2 linked regions of the Oreochromis niloticus genome follow. The protein of the gene in region 1 binds, or shares a complex with, the protein of each later gene. Links are inferred from orthologs where the notes say so. Each region holds a gene or a part of one and is shown on either strand. Other genes may lie near its edges.

Region 1 (10,391 bases):
AGGTACACGGCAAAAGGAATTAGTTTTTGTCTAATTTTGTAATGCATATGAAGAAATTAAACTCCAGGAGGGTCAGCGCTACAGAGCGACTATGGGGTCTGTCTAAACTTTTAGCTTTGCCTAGAACTGCTGTAATGAAGTCGCTTCAAACGGGAAGAAATTGACCACAGTATTGATCTGCACATAAAAGGTAGAGATAAGACTGACATGACGTTATGTCAAGTAATTTATCTTTTAACTTGTTAAAATGATTGGCAGTAGAAGGGGATTGTTATCACAGTTGGACAGCCAACCTATTCATCATTTTTTTAAGTCAGTGTATGAATAAAGATAAATGGACTCTCAGGCAAGCGTTTGGTATGGATTTAAATACAGTTTCTCATAAAGAGAGAGACAATTTAAAACAACCCACCCACCACCACCACCACGAAAAAGCTACCTTTGAAACAAAAGAAAGTAATTACTGATGTCGGCTCAACAGTAAGTAAAACACGTCACAGCCTTCACAGTGTATTTGCGTATATGTTTTATGTGTATGCACCTGTGTTCGCTGGTTTGCTTGCATTTCTGTTTGTGTCCACTCTCCTGTTCTGCCTAGTGGTCCACTCAAATTACACACTCTATTATCTGGTCTCTCCAGCCAGCAAGCTCATTTGGAAATGAGATTTAAAACAGCAATAAATATAGAATTATGTAGGGGGGAAAGGGAATGGGCATTGGGGGGGGGGGATTATTTTTCAGGGGTTGGTCCAAATCACTACTGGGCATTTTTGTTTTTTGGGGGGGGGCAGATAGAAAGACGTAATGACAGTGACTAAATGCTAGCCAGTGATTTTGAGCATTCAGGCCCCTGTGTTGAAAGCAGTATTTTCTCCACAGTTTGAAATCCTTTTCCCAGAATAATTATCCATTGTAGATGCCCATCCTCAGATAATGACTGCCTCGCCACTGAGCTGGGAAATTAACAGGGACCCAGTGTGCTGCGAGCACAATGGAGGGACTGCCCCCTGTATCAGCACTCCGCTAATTTTAACCAAGAAGAGAAACTGGGAAACTGTTGTTAATACTTCCCTCCTGCTCATGAGGAATAACATAATTTTGTTTCGTGCATGATATCATCTAAAAGGAAAACTAATTCTTGAGAAGACCTGGATTCATGAAGTGAATGGCAACATTGCCCCCTTGTGAAACCGATAAGCAACTTCTCTGCATACAGTAACACCAAGGCTGGGGACTTGCACTGGTTCCAACTTTTTTTTCTTTAAGAAGCTTTTTTATTTTTTGCATTTCAACCTCTTGCTGTCATCACACCTTGGTGACTTTAGCTATGTTAAAAAGGATAAAGTGATCAGGAAAGATCAGGAGGGGTAAAATGGCTGTGGGAAATAGGTTATGTGAAAGTGGGTTTATTTTAAGGTACCGGGGCTCACGAGCTGCTTGTGGCACAGAATAACAGACTGATGCAAAAAAAAAAAAAAGACTAGAATCACAAGCAGGTATTATGACTGCAGCAGGATTTTTAGAGGTGCATTAGTGCAGCAGGGCCCCTTTTTTAATTGGTGTATTAACACATTTGTTTAGCGCTGTGCCAGAATTCACAGCGGCTTGATTATTATAGAAATGTGGGGCCATTTTTCACGAGCTTGGTCTCTTTGCAAAGTAATAACTGCTGGCTTGCAGACCTCTATTTTCATGATTCATGTGAAACACTCATTGAGTGTGTCTCAATTGAATGTCAGCACTATCAAAATAATAAACCAAATAAAACTGTCTTCTTGACCCGGCATCGCCTAATTGTTCTCTGAGAGAGACAAACTGTTTGGTATATTCTTCTATTCTGTTCACGCTATTTGACTGTGCACCTCTCTGCAATTTATAGCCCAGTTACACTCCATATAATCCCTATTAGTGGATGCTTAAGACTTCTCAAAGCAGTTAACTGTTGTTAGCGTCTGAAGTGTTAACCAGAGGGAGAGATGGATGGCTTTATTTGTGAAATTTATACTATGCACACAACACCTGCAGGGCAAAACAAGTGGAGGATGGTGACTTCAGCGGTGATCCATCTGCACCGCATATGGGAAGAGGCACCGTGGAAGTCTCTGTGCCCATGCATCAAAAACTCAAATCATCAGCAACAGTTCTTTTACTAACCCCGTGACTTAATTGGATTATGTGCAAATGTAGTTTGAAAGGTAAAATGAGTGTGAAATAGCAACTGGAAGCTCCAAAGAAAGATTCACTGAGCGCCAGAGGCGTTCCTGTCCTACCGTTAACCTCTCACGTGTGCACATTTCTGAGGGCTCGAGATGTATACTGATGAGGAGATCTGTGCGTGTTTTCAACCCAGACTTTTATCTGAAGTTAGTTCATCCCTTTTTGTCTGTGAAGACAATGCCCCGGCTCGGTGCCCGACACCTTCAACAGAGAGAGTATGTTGATGAATTAAAGTCTCATCAAACTGTGGCTTAGCGGAGTTAAGCAAGGCACATTAAATCAATACTAATAACCCCAGTATTTGCCTGCGTGAGTGTCTCGGTGACAACATCAGTATCTCTGTGTACTACTTTCTCAAAATGTGCCACTCATTGGGTGTGCAAGTAGACAACTTTATTGTCCTCATCTAACCTGACGGGCTGTTACTGTGCTCTCCGACCACATGGTGCCAAGCTTATTTATATGCTACCGGTGCGCAAGATCTTGGGCAGAGCAAATTGCCTTCGCGCAGAGAGAGACAGCTATCAATGCTTTGATGTGCGGCCATCTGTGTGTGTACGTATGCGCACTTACTCTGAGTTCATCTCTTGAAATGGGTTAAGTTGTACATTCCTTTTTTTTCACGCAAGAGAGAAATACAAAAATATCTGTATGGGTTTTATTTATCGACGACTCGTTCGTGTATTTTTTGCCGCACAGCGGGAGTGGGAGATAAATGAAGTTTAGCTGGAAGCCATGTTCCTTCAGGTCAACGAGCAGGTGGAAGTCTCTTTTGCTTTCTTTGGGTCGCGCCACCTCTCAGTGGAGTTGTGATGTACATGGCTCGGAGGGCTGCCCTGGCTCTGCTGTACCAGCAGCGTAAAACAAGGTCCCTGTAGTGGCTGACTCCCTGACTTGTGTCCCTTGCTGCAGCAGCAGAGAATGAAGCAGCCATACATCATAGGCCAAGTGTGTCCCCTGGGGCGGTGACAGACAAAGCCAACAGAATCAATAAAGCCTTAGCTCAAGCCCTACTTTTGTGCACCCAGACCTCACCTTGGCCTCTTTACCTCCTTTTCTTGCTCAAATTCCATCACTTTCTTTCTTCAATTCTTACACTTCTTGTCCAATTTTCTCTCCACTCCTTTCTTTCTCGGTGACATCATTTATCTTTGTCGGACTACGACTTCTGTCAATATTATCTCTATCTGCCCTTCTGCTCGGCCCCAGGTGAACATGCTGATGCACAGTGGAGCTGTCAGCCTTGACAGGAGATAAAAAAGAGAGAGAAAAGCACTTCAGAAAGGAGAAAAGACCGAGGCCTGAGGATTACCGAAGGCCATTCAGCTTGTTAGTGCAGAGGCACCTAACTCAGACGAATGCATACCTAATTTTTTTTCACAGGGCTGAGTGATTCAAGTTCTGGAGGGTTGAATGTTCCCCAAATAGACAGTTTAAATGATGGAGGGCCTAGTGTGGTAGCCACAAACTATTTCAGACAGCAGAGGAAATGCTATTAGAGAGATAGAAGGAGCACTGGGGAGTAGTTCGCAGTAATTAAACTGGAGCGTCAATGTTACTGCTACCTGTTTACAACCCAAAAGAGGGGCATTTTCCTGTGGCGAAGAGGTTTGGGTTTCATTTATTACTGTCGATTACTATTATGACGACCTCTCACGGTGAACACTGATTTTATTGAAGGAAATGATACCTTAAATATTTCACCAGAAAAGTGATTCCTGATAGAACATAGTTACATAGAAGCTGTAAAGTATAAATAAAAGGGACCTGACCTAATTCTGCACCTTTATTTATTTGATCAACTTAAATTTAAGACTAATGTTTCAGCAAAAGGCAACGTCAGAGATTATTTTGGAAAGCTAATCTTCACAGTAGCGTTACAACAATACTTACACATCACGCAGCTACTGTACATGTTTGTTCAGAGTACAAGACTATCATGACTTGACTACGACTATTTTATCTCCATACGGATTCACACAGGATACACATTCAGCTGCCTACATCCACCAGTCTGCCAAAAAGGTATGTGCGCTGAGCACACTTACATAAGAAATTGGATTTTAAGCTCAGCTGTGTGTGTGTTTTTGTGTCCTTGTTTTTGCACCCTAACCCAAATCTCAAATGCAAGTGTGGGGTTACACGAACACACACGAGGATGGTTTTACGTACGGAAGCATAGGTGCAACTTCTGTATGGCCATCTATGTGTTTTCACTTCGCTGTGTCCTTCCTCTGGCCACTGATTAGGGTCACTTGCTTGTGCCAGCTGGGTCAACACCATTATGCAGGGTCTTTTTATTCAACAAGGTATTGATCTTCATCCATGCGCTTATTTATGTCTGTGGGGGTGAGTGAAGATAAGCAGGAAGATGGGGCCAGGCCAAGAAAAGGAGGCGCGTTCTGGAAGAGTAAATTTGACATAAAAATCCAATCAATTCCTGCAGCCCATTCACAGCCTGACAGCCCGAGCTGCTTGTCAAAGTCCAGAAAACATAAAACTCACATGAGTAATCACGCTACTTCTTTCACTTTTAGCTGAAAACACAAAACATCTTTTAATAGTTTTCCTGTATAACGCAATCTTTAGAGACTCACTAGAAGATTAATATGACAGTGAGTGTAAATACACAAAGAGCCTTACACGCACGCTAGACACAAACACGCATGAGTGCTGAGGTACACAAATAATAAATATTTTTAACAGCACCGCTCCTCATTTTACATCTTTAGACACACATACAAAAACAGACTGAATTTTATCATGGCAGCAGATTTGTCATCATCACACGCACATACACAGCAACCTGGGTATGTTTAGCAGGAGCAACAGGCAACAAACAATACAAAGGGGGAAATGATGCTGTGAAGCACTGAAACGAGATTGGTCACGACTAAAATTACAGGCTTTTAACAATTGCCCCAAACACGCTATTAAATATAGGCATGCCTATTTTGCCACCCATTGAGTATAAAGGTGTATCTCTGACTGTGCTCCTGGCTGCTCATTACATATCATCGCCCAGACTCTAAAGCGCAGTGTCAGTTCAAGAAAATCTGGCACATCAGCAACACCGACAGAAGTCTTTGTATCTCCACCAAATATGCCCAGATGGCAATGAGCACTTATAGAACGTTTTATTCACAGCCAACAAAGGAGTTCAAACTTTATTTTATTGCATTAATCCTGAACGACGGAGAAGTTTAGATACTTCTAATTGTGATGCAGCAGTCTTTGAGGTTTCTGGGGCTGAAGATTAAGAATAACAAATGAGGTTAGACTGTAAAAGAAGAAAGAGAAAGAAAAGGTGAAACTAACACCAAGAAGAAAGATATGCAGACAGGAACAGAGAAACATGACGGACACAGAAAGACGAAACGGGAGCTGAGGCACATCAAATGGGTATTCTGCCAAGACTACGCTGTGGGGTTATAACCTGCCATCCCGGTGATTTATTCAACTCATCTGTAACATAAATAAAACAAAGCAGAGCTTCCTTTGTGTACGCGAGAGACGGCAAAGTCGGCTGATGCAGTGAAGCGGGTTAAATCTACAGCAGCGCAGCAAGGTGGGTAACAGTATGAGTCATCCACCCCACAGCCACTCACTAACTTACCTGCTGGTGCACACATGCACACATATGGGCTGCACAGGTTCAAGTAATTACACTGTCACACATGGTCTCACAAGAAAAGAACACTAAGGGATTCATTTTTGACACTGTACACTTTCAAGCACTGAGGTATTTTGACCGCTTTGGAAAACTGAGTGTGCCTTAGAGGTGTGGCGATGGATGATTTACAGTCTGTATGGATACATAGGCAGTAAGTTATTAATTAGTTAGTTAATAAAGAAGAAAAGTAGGAAGAGACAGGTGGAGCGATGTTTGCAGGGAACAAGAAATAGCATGAATCCTGAAGAACTAGTGGGCAAATAAATATATAAGTATATATATAAATAATATTTATCTAACATAACTAATAATGCTAAGAAAAATAACACTTTTTATTGAATGATCCAAAAGGCTTTGAAAAAACAATAAAATATATATCAAAGCTGGAAGGAGGATGAGACAGAGTGGCAAATGTTAAGATTGAAGGAGAGAGTGGGAGGGAGTTCAGGGGAGAGGCAAGAAGGATACAGAGAGGGGAGGGGAGAGAGAGAGAGCGAGAGAGAAGTTTATGAAGGAATGTGAGAGAGTATGGGAGACGGGACGGACTGAGTGTTCCAGGTATTGAAGAGGTCTGAGGAAAGGAACCTAAGAGACCTCAAACAACAAAAGCAGACATCACTTTTTTCCCCACACCGGCCCTGCCAGTGTTCGGCTAAGGATGGTTTGCTCATAGATCACAAAGCTTGGGAGACGGGGCAAAAGCAGAAGTGACTGAGACTGTGGAGGCAAAGAATAATGGAGGTAAGTCACCACTACAGGTACTCAAAGACAGCATGGCTTTCTGACTGGATCTGAAATGATGGCAGAGACTCGTGCGAGGCTCAAAGCCTTGCAGTTCAAGCAGGATACAAGCAGATTCCTCCTTATTTAAGTGTGCGATTTGCAAAGTTTAAGCAGCATGAACTAGGATCACTTTATGATCATACCAAATTACAGCTAACATTAGTAATAATTCCAATGTTTCTACGCATGGAAGCAGTCCAAGGCTTTTGCTTGTTAAATGTAAACTGAATTTTAAAATGAAATCATGTCTGTGTTGAGGACACACTGGCTATAAATGAAATGTCTGATTTCGACCCAGAAAACTGCCACTCGGGCTCTTTTCATTCAGCTCAGCCATTACTGGGCAAACCATTGTTTTAAAAAAGCTTAAAATAATAGGGACCAGCGTGAGGTTTGATTTGATATAAACACAACAACTCCTGGGATATAAATACCCCCGAAGGCTAAGCTGGTAGTTATAGGTGTTTTCAACATGATTTTCAAGTGTATTCCCCACCCAGTGATTACCTAAAGTAACCCCCCACCAACCCACGGTTCCTAAATATTGCTGTTTCTTTTATACAATTAATTGTAACACATGAAGGAGAGCTGTTTCGCCAACTCCCAGTTGCTGTCACACTCGCGTACAGTGAGATATGTGTTGAGACCTGCTGAGAACATGAATTCTTGTACATTGTGCAGGTGACAAGGTGAGTGGGTAAGTATAGGGCACTTGTACAGGCATGTTCAGCTTTGTTTGTACCAAATTATTGTGTGGAGAAAAACACAGGGGAGGAATTGTACCAAGGAATGTGAGAGTAAAAAAAAAGTGGGAATAGACAGTTCCCTGTCATTTCACTGGCTGAGATGTTTGTTTGTTTGTTTTTTATGTACACAGCAGAGATCATTTTTTATGTAAATATCGAGACTTGACAGATGATTCCGTTTTGGGTTGGTTTTTTTGGCTTTTTTCAATAACTAATGCTTTGCTCATTACCGTGTGACAATCATTTGAAGCTGTCATGACCTGCTAAAGGAGATGCTTCTTAAAATAACTGTCCCAGATACCTATATAACAGCATCCACTCGTGAATGAAGGCTCTGCCAAAGAAGCAAGGCAACCCAACATTCCTACATCCACAGTAGTTAACTTTTCAGGAATGAAACTGTTTCTGTTTAGAAGTAAACAGTAGATGAATATCAGCTCATGACTCTTCCCAATTATCCCAAGTCAGACTTCTGAAAGAAAATTTCCCTGAAATAAACAAAGTAGCAAAACAAGGTCAGAGGGCCTTTATTTTGGAGCTGAGCACAGGTATCGCCTGCAGCAAATATCTCCAGCTGCTTTTGGGATGATATAGACCCCCTTAAAGTGAGCTCATTGTGTCTTCCTCCTTACTTCCTCTTACTCCCACATTACACCATCCACACACACACGCACAGCCACAGAAGATTAGGAGGATGGGAGGCAGTTATGCTCAAGAATGACAATCTTATCATTGAGTATTCAGCTTTTGGGGGTCATCAGGCTTCAGTGCCAGGAAAGGCCTCATTCTTTTCTACCTACCTATACATGTTATCCACCTCTTAAGCTAGGATAAATCATAATAAGTATGTGTGACTGTGTGCGAAATCCAAACGTCTATATACTAAAAGTTCTCATGCCCTATCATTGATACAAAATATAGCCTGACGAGGCATTATAACACCTTTATAACACCAGAACAAAATAACTGATCTGACAGCAGTAAAATGTATTAGCAAATGTGACTTCTATATTTTTGGCCATAACCATGAAGTCTTTTTCCGAATCCTCTGTTAATGTGCAAACAGCATCGCAACAAAGCTTTTATGGCAATCAATCAAATTTGAATTTTATAATAAAAAGGCTGTCATATCAGACACGAATAGGACAGGCTGTTCAAAACGGGTGACAAGTAATGGAAAAAGTATATGTGCGAGTAATGGGTGAGCAATAATTCAGAACGTCTAAAAAACGCTTCCATTTGTTACATTTTCAGTTGCTGTTTTTAGAGAGGAATAAAAGCCAGAGAAGTTAATATTTTATGACAGCTGAGCTGGACTTTGATAAGAGCTATCTAACAGAAGATGCATGCAAGTCTTTAAAACCTTTTTTGGACTGGTTCCATGGCACTGCGCATGTTTGAGGTATTACAACAAAAAGGTGCAGAAACGCATTGTAAGGTAATAACCAATCGAGTATGGGCGGATGCAGCTCAATAAGGAAATATAAAAGGACATTTGAGATATTTAATTTTAGGACTTCTTGAATTCATGAGCATTAGTTTCCATGCTTGTCGCGACACTAAAGGTTCCCATTTAGACTCCATTAAAAATACATTTTCCTCTACACTCCAACTGCCAAGGTTATGCAAATGCACGCACTACAAGAGCAGTAGTTGGCCAGCCATACAGAGCCAATGAATAGTGCAGACGACCTCCTTATCTATTAAAACCCATGGAGGTTGATGGTTTGGTTGACCTAATGTCTCATTTGGATGCACATAATAGCATCTGAATGCAATCTAATTTCGGGCTGGGGGGTCTCACTAAAAGCTGAGCTCTAGTCAAAGTTGCCTGGTTGCCAAAAGGAGACACTGAGATCACATTAATATGCAAAAATTGTTTACTTTTATTATTCATAATTAAACCTCTTTCTGTATCCTGACCCTTATATCTCAAACAGAGGATACATGGGCTGTATGCTGGGCAATACAATAGTTGTCAATGGATAATGCAATGTTAGCTGCACAGAATAAATAGCCTTCTCTCACGCACACACAGTCCTTCCAAGTCAGTGTCTCTCTCTTTCTGCTTGTGCCTCTCTCTGTGCCTGGTATTCCATCTCCCTACTTCAGGGCAGTAATGAGTGTCTGGTATTCTGCACTTCAGCATTGAAGCCCTATTCATGCTCGATCTCCTTTACAATGCACTAAAAGGATTACCCAATTAGCTGCTATTGGATGTCATTGTGTGTGTGTGTGTGTGTGTGTGTGTGTGTGTGTGTGTGTGTGTGTGTGTGTGTGTGTGTGTGTGTGTGTGTGTGTGTGTGTGTGTGTGTGTACTTGTATGTGTGTGTGTGTGTGTGTGTGTGTGTGTGCGTGTGTGTGTGCATGTGTGCTTGGTCAGTAGATAGATGTGTTAGCAGTGAAAGTGAAAGATAGATGACCGTCTCTGTTCCACACTTCATTCCCAGTTGATGTTCTGCTGGAGGCCACATTACTCATCCCCACAACTCAGTCTTGTGAGTAAGACACAAGATAGAGAAAGTGTGTGTGTGTGTGTGTGTGTGTGTGTGTGTGCGTGTGTGTGTGTGTGTGTGTGTGTGTGTGTGTGTGTGTGTGTGTGTGTGTGTGTGTGTGTGAGTGAGTGAGAGACTGAGGCCTTGACAGCCTTCAGAGAATGACAGAGAAAGAGTATTGCTTTTCAATAATTTAACCTATGCACCGATTAGTCTCTGTGAAATACTCAGCTGTCATATGTGAACTGTGTCTTCTTCTCTTCGCACCGTAATTGGTGATTTAAATTTTCACTGTCATGTTGGGATAATAGGAATGTCCATTTCATTGTCTGTGAACCATTATTTACTTAGTGTGAGCCAAAGATTGATTCCAGTTATCTAATGCGTTACATCACAGTGTGAGCAGCGCGTTCGGCATTTTGCATTCAGAGGATCGAACCGTAGGCTATAAAGATTCATTTAGACTGACGTGGCTGG
Region 2 (10,298 bases), on another chromosome or scaffold:
AATTTACTTGAGTAGGTAGGGTTAGGGGCTGCCACCTCAGCATGCAGTCAAGTTCTATACTCTTGCTAATGACCTACTAATTGTATTCAGGTGTGTTGCACCAGGGACACATGGAAAAGTTGCATGACACCGGCCCTCGAGGACTGGAGTTTGAGACCCCTGTCATACGGAATATGACAGGTGTGGTTGAACTGCATGAAGACGCTGAAGTTTCTCTTCTCTTCTGGCAGGACAGGAATGTAGCCTTGTCCTGTGAGCCACCGTAAGGATGTACTTGGAGTAGAACTGGACTGTCACCGGCCTCAGGCTCTTCACCTTTTCAAAGACAAAGCAGTCATTTAGATAAAATATTAGATATTGTTTACCTGTAAATGCACAAAGAGAATTTAGAAATGTAATTATTGTCAAGAGTGAAAAAGCACTGATAGTGTAATCTACAGCTGTGGCCAAACGTTTAGAGAATGATTAGTGTTGTTTATTTACAAAGTTTGCTGTTTCAGTGATAGTTGTATATCATATTATATCACTTCAAACGGAGGTGATCCAGTAATGCTGCACTAATGAATTAGACTAACTATTCACTTTAGCTAAAGTTATTAAGTTAGCTAAAGAGTTGGGATGCTGTGTAAGACATAAATAAAGCTAAAATACAAAGGTTTGGACACTGTTTTGCATGTTTCCCTACTGTAGGGGTCTCTGCAAGCATACAGGGCTCTGACAGGGTACAAGATGACAACTTTGGAATTCTACTAGAAACAGTCGATCATATTTGTTTGTCAAAGCTGAATCCAGGGCAAACTAGGCTAAATTAGCGTTTTTAGCTAACAGCTACAATAAGCATAAAAGTTACTGTACGGCTATCAATTGTTAACATGACGCTTGTTCTTATACATGTAATACATTTATTACCAACCTGAGAGTTTATCCGCTGGTCATTCGACATGACGAATGACTTCTGAAGTCTTAATTCAGCTCAAGACACTGTAGATTCCCGTCAGTAACACTTTCGGTCCGCTAGTAAAACGTAGTTCTATTAATCTGCGCTCGTTTACTCTTGAACCGGAACCGGATGTAAGTTCCAAAAAACTGAATTTTGGAACTGAAATTGAATTGTAGAACTGAAACTGAATGGTGAGAGTGAAACTGAAATTATTCGAGAGCTGAATTTTTAAAGGATAAAATGCAGTTTCAAAGCAAATGAATTCATTTTCAAAAATAAAATTCAATTTCAATTTAGTGATGATCATTTTTAAACCATAAATTCAATTTCAAATTAGACTAATTCAAATTCAGTTTTCAAAAGCATTTATTCAAGTTACAATTCAGATTCAATCTGAGCAATTCAGATTCAAATTTAACTTATTCAAATTCAGTTTCTGATGGCACAGATTTCTGCCCATACATCTGCTCATCCAGACTTTTGTCTTTGATTTGAATGGTCAGGGGGAGAGAACAGACACTGAGGGGAAACATTCAGCGTTTTTTTTGTTTGTTTGTTTTTAATTGTTTTACCACTGAATGTGCTGCTGAGATTTCTGGGTGAGAAAAAAAAATCCTATGAAGTTATGTCGTTTGCTAACCCAGTACTATCACGGTTATCAAAAAGAAGAGCTTCAAATGATTTGTTTTTAATTTAATTGGTTTAAAGTTCAGCAACACCTTTAATTGTACTTATGCAAAAATTATAGATCATCAAACATGCTGCACACAATCTCAAGTGTATATCTACTGGTGATGTTTTGTTTTTTTTTGTTTTTTTATTCTCACCTGATCCTGCAGCTGTTTGGATGCAAAGCTCTATGGACTTGAGAATAATCAGGCTGACAGCTCTCAGCATCACGCAATCCCAGTTCTGAATTTGATCTCCCAGAATGTGCCTGGTTCCTCCAAAGAAAGCGCCAGACTGCATTTGAATACTCAGTAACCAATTGTCAGAAGCTGCTTTTAACACAGTTCGAGCAAGAATGCTCATATCAGAGCTCCAGTTTCCACATGTCATCCATGACGCCACATCCCCTGAAATCCAGTCCTCTCCAGCCTTCTGAAGGATTGCTCTCTTTAGAAGAAGCAGCACTCGCTTTTTAACATAATACTCTGAGGAGGAGCAGATGTTTAGGAGGGCCAACGAGTGAAGGTGGGTTATTCTCTGACTCTTCAAATGGACACCAGCTCCACATACCAAACTAGAAGAAGTCAGCACCTCAAGCAGGTCTAGCAGTAGACATAATGATGTTCCCCAGTGTGTGCTTCTGGTAAAATCCACTAAATGCTGTGACATGTGTTTCTTCTCTTCAGGGAGCAGTTTTGAACATAGAACACTTAGACTGAGGTCAAAACCTGCCAGAAGTGTCATAAGCTCTAATGGAAGAAGAAAAAAAATGTGAGACTAGACAAAATCAACCATCATCCTGTAAGCATCATAGGTTGCTCTTTTCTGCCCATATCTTACCCCAATGAGTTACCCTAGCTAAAGAACAAATGATTTTATTTACAATTTCAATAACAAACTCATCTTTAAGTAAATTCATTGAAATGTTCAAAATCTTAAAATGTTCTGGCTGCAGTTTCTACAATTTGATAATTTGCTCATTTTCTGTATTTTTGTTACCATTATAGCCTAGATATCGTGGATTTTGGACTCTTTGAAAATTAAAATTACTAACACCGTTTACCTCGATGAGCTCCTTTAAGAAGTTTTTTGGAGACTTCAGTCAGTGACCACAAACAGGCATCTAATTCAGCACCAGGCCATGGGTTCTGAAATGCTTGTTCACATTTCCTCTGCCAGACAGGACTGATAACTCCCTAAGAAATTTAAGCATACAAGCGCTTAAATTCAGTTTTAAACTGTCAAATCACAACAACAGTCACTTCAAGGCGCTCAATATTGAAAGGTAAAGACACTAAAATTTTATAGAGAAACCCTAACAGATAACCTCCTATGAGTAAGGACTTGGCAACAGTGGGGAGGAAAAACTCCCTTTCAACCTTCTTTTTAAAAGGGAGTTCCTTTCCACTGTTGTCCAACCCGTCAGAACCAGGTCACGGCAGCCATCTGCCATGACCAGTCTGGGCGGGGGACTAGATAAAAGACATGCTGTGGAAGAGAGCCGGAGATGGTGAGTAAAAAAGGGTAAGAGAAGGAGAAACGTTCAGTGCATCTTGAGAGAACCCCAGCAGCCTAAGTCTACTGTTTAGTGCTACTGTGTGGATTCAAGGTCACGCGATTCAGCCGTAGCTATAAGCTTTCAGAAAAAGGAAAGTCTTAAGCCTAATCTTAAAAGTAGAAAGGGTCTCTGTCTCCCAAATCCAAGCTGGGAGCTGGGTCCACAGAAAAGGTGCCTGATACCTGAAAGTTCTGCCTTGCATACTACTTTAAAATATCCCAGTAACCACAAGTAAATCTGCAATCTGAGAGCAAAGTGCTCCATTGGGGTGATATGGTACTATACATCTTCCTGATGACCACAATTGATCATGTGGCTCTTTGTTGTTTCATCCTGGATAGTGCTTCTGACACTCACTAGCACTTGGTCTCCTTCCCTCCGCTCAGCGTACAGTCTCAGAGGGCTAGATTTGGGGTGAAACCCTACATGCATAAGTAAGAAGCTTCGTTGTCTTGATGTCAGTGGATTTGATCTCCTCCTTTGGGAGTAGGTGGCGATTGCCTTGATCTTGTTCTTCCCATTCAGCTACTTCTCAGGACTTGCCTTACTTGCTGGGTTGTTGTAGCTTTCCTAGTAGCCTTTTCATGGTTCCCAATTGGCTATTTTCAGTGTGTTGCCTTCTGATAGACCTTAGAGGACTGCACTTCCTCTCTTTTTTTACTATTAGGGTTCTGCTCATTTTGTGTAGCTCTATGAATTCCAGGTTCCATGTGTGAGGTTTAGAGTCATAGGCTTTCTCGTAGTAAGTCCAGGTGGTGCACAGGTTGGCCAGTCTGGTCTTAGTCTTGAGTGAATGTTCCAGCTACCAGTTGCTGAAGTTTTGCCCTTCTGGTGTTTCTGCCAATTCCTTTCTGGCCCCGCTCACATATTGAGCCATGTCCCTGTTCATCTTAGTCACTATGATACCTCAAGGCACTTTCACATAGGATGTGTCTTTGCAGCAAAACAGTACTCAATTGTCTTTTTAAATTTAGCATTTTCTGCCCGAGTAAAATATTATTTGAATTTGGATAGGTTCTGTTTAACTGTGCCAGAAAGGTTTGTTGTATATCTTGACTGCTGTTTTTTAAGAAACCTCGTACTTGGGACTTGTAGTGACTTCATAATGAATTTGCTCACCTGTGTTTGTGCCTGACATGTGTGCCCCGTGGGGTTTAATTATTATTGCATCTGTGTTAAAATATTCTAAGCCCCTATAATTTGCTCAGCTGTGCAAACAACTTAATTTCAGTTTTGGTTATTTACTCTTGCCTCATGTAAGCAGCAAGGTCTGGTAGTTTTATTGTGACAAGACACTTTTATATCTTAGAGCTTACCCTCTGTCGCCACCACAGTTCAGCACCCCAAACTTCAATGCCCTTCAGTAGGGCATCCCAGGTTGGTCAGTTTAAGGCTGTCCTTTGAACCACACAATACATTTCTCTGGATTCACTGAGTTTAGAAATTGAGCTTCATTCGTAAATTGGTGAATAACGTGCACTCTCCATCGTTGCTTTTGAAAAACAGTCTCTTGTTTTGTTCAGCAGAAACATCTAGACCCTTCTGGTGTCTCCTTTTACATTACTTTAAAACTTTGCTTTTTTCACCATTCTTAACATTATACACAATGAACAGTGTTACATATTTTTTAATAGTATGTGATTTACAGTAGGCTAAAGCGTTTCAGTCAACTCAGAGACGGAAAAAAAAACGTTGCTGAAAACGAATCTCCAAAGAATGACTACTTACAGATTTGCAGATAAGGTAAAAAACACACTTTGATGCTGTCTTTGCAGCCAGATGTGAGATAATGTGGTCCTCGGCTTGGAACCGGTTTACCTATGGAAAAGGTAATTAAATCAATTATTAAGATAACTTTACGTCTTTACTCCCATGACCAGTGGTAGCACTTACAAGGTGCGTGATGAGATCCATGTCTTCAAGCAATACTTTTAGGACCTCCGCATAATAAAACTTAACGTCTGGATGCAGCCCCTGAGACGTCAGATTAGAAGAAACCCTCTCGAGGAAAGACATGCACATGCAGGTCAGCTCCGCATTCTTTTCACCGCAGTACTCTGAGGGGGAACCTTCTCTGTCTTTACCGTGGACAGGTCCACATAATCCCGAATATATTACGCTCGCTACATCGGCAGCATTTTGGGGGGGGTACGATCCCGCAAGAAAGCATCTGTACGCTTCTGTCAAACAGTTAAAAAGCCCTGTCATTATGGACAGGTCTTCGTCTTTACAACTCATATTACCCTCCATTGCGCTGCTACTTCCGCGTGGATCTCCCATGTGATATACACGGAAGCAGCCCTACAAAATACGTGAAGCATTACCAAAATAAAATAAAAAAGTCTAATAAATGAAAATAGAACCTTATATTGTTGTTGTTGTTTTTACATTGTGGGAAATATATAATAGTGAATATAATAATAGCACTTTAATTACTTTAATGACCATGGATTTATATAATGTGTCTATTTTCAGAAAGTTCATTCCGTCAAACTGGACGTTTTCTGTAGGAGAAAGGTTTCTTCATCCAAACCACTAATCTCAGCTGACTGCAGAATAATGATGGAAACTAGCTCCACTGAATAACAATGGGCCGTGAGGTTAGTTTTATGATCATTAATCTGCAAATTGATTGATCAGTATAGCATCATCATATATGCACGCTTCCTTGCCTTTCTGATTTATTTTAAATTAATTGCATCCAAAAATTCATTTTATACGTCTGCTTTGCAAATGGTAGTTCTTGACGTGCTTGGAGCTGTGGAAATTATGCTTATATTGTGAAAGTCTGCAGACGGAAGTGTTATTGTTTTTGCTGATGGAGTCACGCTGGTGAAGCTCTTCGCAGACACTCTGTGATTAAGTCTTAGTGTTGGACAGTTAGATTATTCTTGTCATTACCTACAAAGATATAGATAAAAGTTTGACACTAGCTTCTTTGTTTAGTATTGTATTTGTGCTGAAAGTAACGGAATTATGCGGCTTTGACAACTTCAATCGTTCCGTCTACCTGAAAGCTGATTGGCTCAGTTACACGTCGGTTCAGCGTCTGACAAGTAAGTCTTTGTTTTATAGAGCTGCTGTTTTGTCAATAAAGGCGTAGAATTCCTTTTAATATCCACACACGCCGTGTTTTGGGGTTTATTTCTACCCAATTATAATAGTGTAAAAAGTAAAATGAAGCGAAATAAAATTAAAAACGAGCGAATGAGTTTGTTAGCTTTCTGGCTAACTAGCTGCAGCTAACCTTCTAAGAAACGTACAGCCGTAAACCATGGGTTATTCTAAAAGGATCTACTTTCATTACACTTTCTGGGGTGGTGGAAATGAGCTATCTTCACCGCCGAGCTTCTGTAAGTTATATCTGTATACTTGTGCGTGTTTTGTATTATTGGTCATGTTAGCAAATAAAGGCACAGTGTTGTCTATTGTTTCTCATAAACGAGTTTAACGAGCCAAACTTTTTAAGGTTTAAGGTAATGACAGATAGTTACATTTTCATTCATTTGCAAAGTTTTCTCAGGTTGGATAAAAATAGTGTAATTAGCAAGTTTACCTTTGGGTAGTGTATATGCATATAATTATTTTTTTGTATTTAACTCTCTGGTTATTACTATTGTTTGGCTGTTATGGTTTTCAGCAATAATTGGGGTGTATCCATGACCAATTGACTATGTCCGTTAGTGTTCACAATACTCTTCATTGCCTCTAATCTTTTTTTGATGACTGTGTTTGTGTGCCACAGGGAAACATATTCTCAGTTCCTCACAGTGTGCACCAGTACATCTGCAAATGCAGCTCTGATATGACTAAAAGAAGTCCATCTCTTCAGCTGGTCAAAAGGTACATTTTAGTATCTAAAACATGAGCTTTTCTTTCTTTCTTTCTTTTTTTTTAACAGCAGCATAATTTCTCCCAACAAGGAAACCACAAAAAACTTGCTAGACCTCTTTATCAAGTAATGGTTAAGCCTTTGTTAGCTGAAGCAAAAAAGTGACTGTCTCACATGTACATTTTCAAACAACTTAATTTATAATTACATTTTTGTGGGGATATATACAACTTTTATAGTCTTGTCTCTTTAATATTTAAATTCCAAGTTTTCTGCTTTTTATTCAGTAAGACTGAATTAAATTAATAAAGTTCTGAATGTCGTGGAGTAAAGATTTGTTTGCTGCTTTATAAATTATTTGTGCAATTCTGAGATCAACCAAATCTTTAAATTGAATTCAATGATTTTTTATCACAAATCACAACAGCAATAATGAAATGTTAATAATTTAATAAAAAATTGATTTGATGGTCTTTTGAAGTTTTGGTGTAGCTCAGGTGGTAGAGCACCTGCTAATCAGAACGTTGGTGGTTCAATCCTCATCTCTCCAGTCTGCGTGCCAAATATCCTTGGGCAAGATGCATCTGTCAGTGAATGCGTGTGAATGTTAGATAGAAAGCTTAGATAGAAACAGTATAGTATGATTGTGTGAATGAGGCAAGTTGTATAACCCATTTTGAGTGCTCAGAGTAGAAAATATACTCTATATTCCACCAGTCTGGATTTTAAGTCAAATGTGTTCAAGTGCAGACTTTGAGCTTTAAGTCTATGTTTTTTCAGAGTTTGGATTAACTGCTGAGAAATTTAGGGTGATGGAGGGGCTGGAGCCTATCCCAACTGCAGTACAGTAAGAGGCGGCTTACACCCTTTTCTTGCAGTCCCCTGTTTTTAGATGCTTAAAATTAACTGGACAGTTGTCTCCAAAGCAGTTTCCTCGCTATGTCATCGCAAATGAAGCAGATGCCTGAAGTTGACTCATAGAGCTGATTTTGTATTTGTAGTTTTGCAATTTTAAATATAAGTCTCAGACAGATGGCAGTGCATACAAGGTACACCATCACTAGGCTGGAAAAAAAAAAACACAATAAACCAGAGAGAGATGGTAAGAAATTTGGCAGTGGCCAGATCAACAGTGTGGTACATACATAAAACAAAGATTAACTTTAACCAGAGCGATGGGAAAAGTATTGAGAAGCAGAAAAGCAGCTCAAGATCAGATAGGCTCCTTTCCCATTAGTACCTGCTCGGTTTGAATCGCCACGACTCGACTTGGATTAACTGGTTTTCCATTATAATCAAGTACAACCTAATGTGTGTTTTCATTGTCATAGCAACACGTCCAAGTGTCCTGTGACGTAATTAACATGCAACACAAACGCTACAACAAAGGTGGGTGTCGAGGCAAGAATACACCTCCTGCTCGGTCTGTCGCTTTTCGGCAGACTCTGGGACCACGGCATTGTTCTTTGTAGCCATTTCCCTTATTGACAGCCAGGGCTGTGTAGAGATTTTTGAAGGGGTGGGTGCTGAAAGTTAAAAAGGGGCACATGGAACCAGAGTGAATAACAACAACCCATATTCTTCAAAAATCTAATATGGATTCGCATCATACTGTATCACTGTTATCAGGTGGGGATAAGGCAAAGCAAAGGTAGCCCATTTCTTGCCTGATGGGTACAATGTTGCTGTTGAGGTGTTGCTGCTGCTCCTGCTGCTGATAGTGCTGGAGGGCAGGGCTGTGTTGATCTGACACTGTAGACATTTAAAAAGTCTGTAGGAGATATGGTAGCTGATTGTGTTGTGAGATAATAATGAAATGCAAAGATCGGTGACAGTGCTTGGAACCGTAAGGCAACAGATTAAAAAAAACTGTGGGAAATGAACTAGGCTCTGCCTGTGAATCACTCTTTGCCTCTCTTCCTCCTTCCATCTCCTCATCTCATCTATCGCTGTCCACTTGCTGTCCTTCTGAGAACAAGGCACAACTTGCTATTGCATTTAACTATCTACACTTAACAAATCCCATGATGCTTTGAGTATTTCTTCTTCATGTGTTAATAGACCTCTCTGCTTTGAGTCATACTTGTTATTAATCTCTTCCACAGCATGTCTTTTATCCTGTCTTCCTACTATCTCCCTAACCGGTTATGGCAGATGGCCCCGCCCCTCCCAGAGCCTAGTTCTGCCGGAGGGTTCTTCCTGTTAAAAGGGAGTTTTTCCTTCCGCACTCATGTGGTTGAAAAAAACATTTGATTCTGGAGGTTATTTAAACATATCATGAGATATAGATATTAGATTTTCATCATCGCTCAGCCCTAGATCAAATAATGAGTTTCCTCAATATTTGAGGAAGCTCATTATTAATGTTAACCCTTAAAAACTTCTGAACATCATTAGTACACCATTTCAGTATTATTTTGATTCTTTTTCTTTAACATTTTGATATTGATTTTGATTTTTATATATTTTTTTTAATGCACCACCTGTGTGTGCTTGATTTGTGTGTTTTGTCTGCCATGTATGTCCATTCAAATCTGTCAGATCTACAATGAACTGCTTAAATTGTAGATCTATGTTGCACTAAGGCGGTGGTCAGAGGTGGGCAGACACTGTACTGTAATGTATGAATGAGTTGGGTTTTGCACAAATTTATTTTAGCCATTAAAATATCCTCAGATCGGCCAGATACAGTCCCAATCAAAAGTTTAAGACCACTTGAAAAATGTGAGTGAAGTTGGCTCCCCCACCTTCTTCAAATCCAACACACACACATTAATAAAGTAAATAAAAATTGGTGTCAATCAACTGTGCTACGTTGTGCTGCAAAAAATTTTGTTTGTGCCGCTATCATTTTAAAGATATTAATAAAAATGTCAAGGTCAACCAGCCCCCCCACATTACCCAAATCAAAGAAAAGTGGTGTCAAACGATTGTGCTACGTTTATGCTGGTTTGTGCTGCTAAAACTTTTGTTTGTGCCGCTAATATCTTTAAAATGATAGCGGCACAAACAAAAATTTCTGTAGCACAAACCAGCGCAAACATTTGACACCACTTTTGTTGGATTTGAAGAAGGTGGGGGGGCCAACTTCACTTACATACTTGAAAAATGGCAAAAAATCATATTTTTCATGGTTGGATCTTAACAAGGATCAAGTAGAGCTTTAGCATGCAACAAGAAGAAATGGGAGCGAGACAAAAAAAAAAAAAATTTGATCATGCAGTTTATTGAAAATGACACTTAAACTGACACAGGCTCTTAGGCCACCTCTATCATCAAGTTATGTGTTAAACTACTTT

The links.
Region 2: the proteins of lzts1 (region 1) and asb7 are in contact, whole or in part, in a crystal structure (PDB 8Y1U), measured with the Homo sapiens proteins. The link is inferred for Oreochromis niloticus from reciprocal best matches to the Homo sapiens genes LZTS1 and ASB7. Residues at the interface, in NP_001349813.1 of Homo sapiens: Arg346, Glu348, Leu349, Leu352, Met353, Glu355, Gln356, Leu358, Leu359, Glu360, Lys362, Leu363, Arg364, Ser365, Tyr366; in NP_937886.1 of Homo sapiens: Asn46, Trp48, Ala56, Ile79, Phe82, Tyr87, Met90, His91, Asp116, Trp118, Val123, His126, Tyr127, Ser147, Lys149, Thr151, Gln155, Leu156, Ile159, Arg160, Phe182, Arg185, Tyr186, Ile189, Lys190, Arg210, Leu220, Leu223.

What each region holds. Positions count from the first base shown.
Region 1 is NC_031977.2:14,322,010-14,332,400, forward strand, and holds the start of lzts1 (leucine zipper putative tumor suppressor 1), read left to right. Parts: upstream 1-6,401; 5' UTR 6,402-6,631; intron 6,632-10,391. UniProt on the Homo sapiens protein: Involved in the regulation of cell growth. May stabilize the active CDC2-cyclin B1 complex and thereby contribute to the regulation of the cell cycle and the prevention of uncontrolled cell proliferation. May act as a tumor suppressor.
Region 2 is NC_031965.2:5,045,309-5,055,606, forward strand, and holds the start of asb7 (ankyrin repeat and SOCS box protein 7), read left to right. Parts: upstream 1-5,960; 5' UTR 5,961-6,223; intron 6,224-6,272; exon of another isoform or gene 6,273-6,520; intron 6,521-6,912; 5' UTR 6,913-7,010; intron 7,011-10,298. Other genes in the region: lins1 (protein Lines homolog 1), read right to left, coding at 1,768-2,358, 2,673-2,805, 4,896-4,985, 5,061-5,447. UniProt on the Homo sapiens protein: Probable substrate-recognition component of a SCF-like ECS (Elongin-Cullin-SOCS-box protein) E3 ubiquitin-protein ligase complex which mediates the ubiquitination and subsequent proteasomal degradation of target proteins.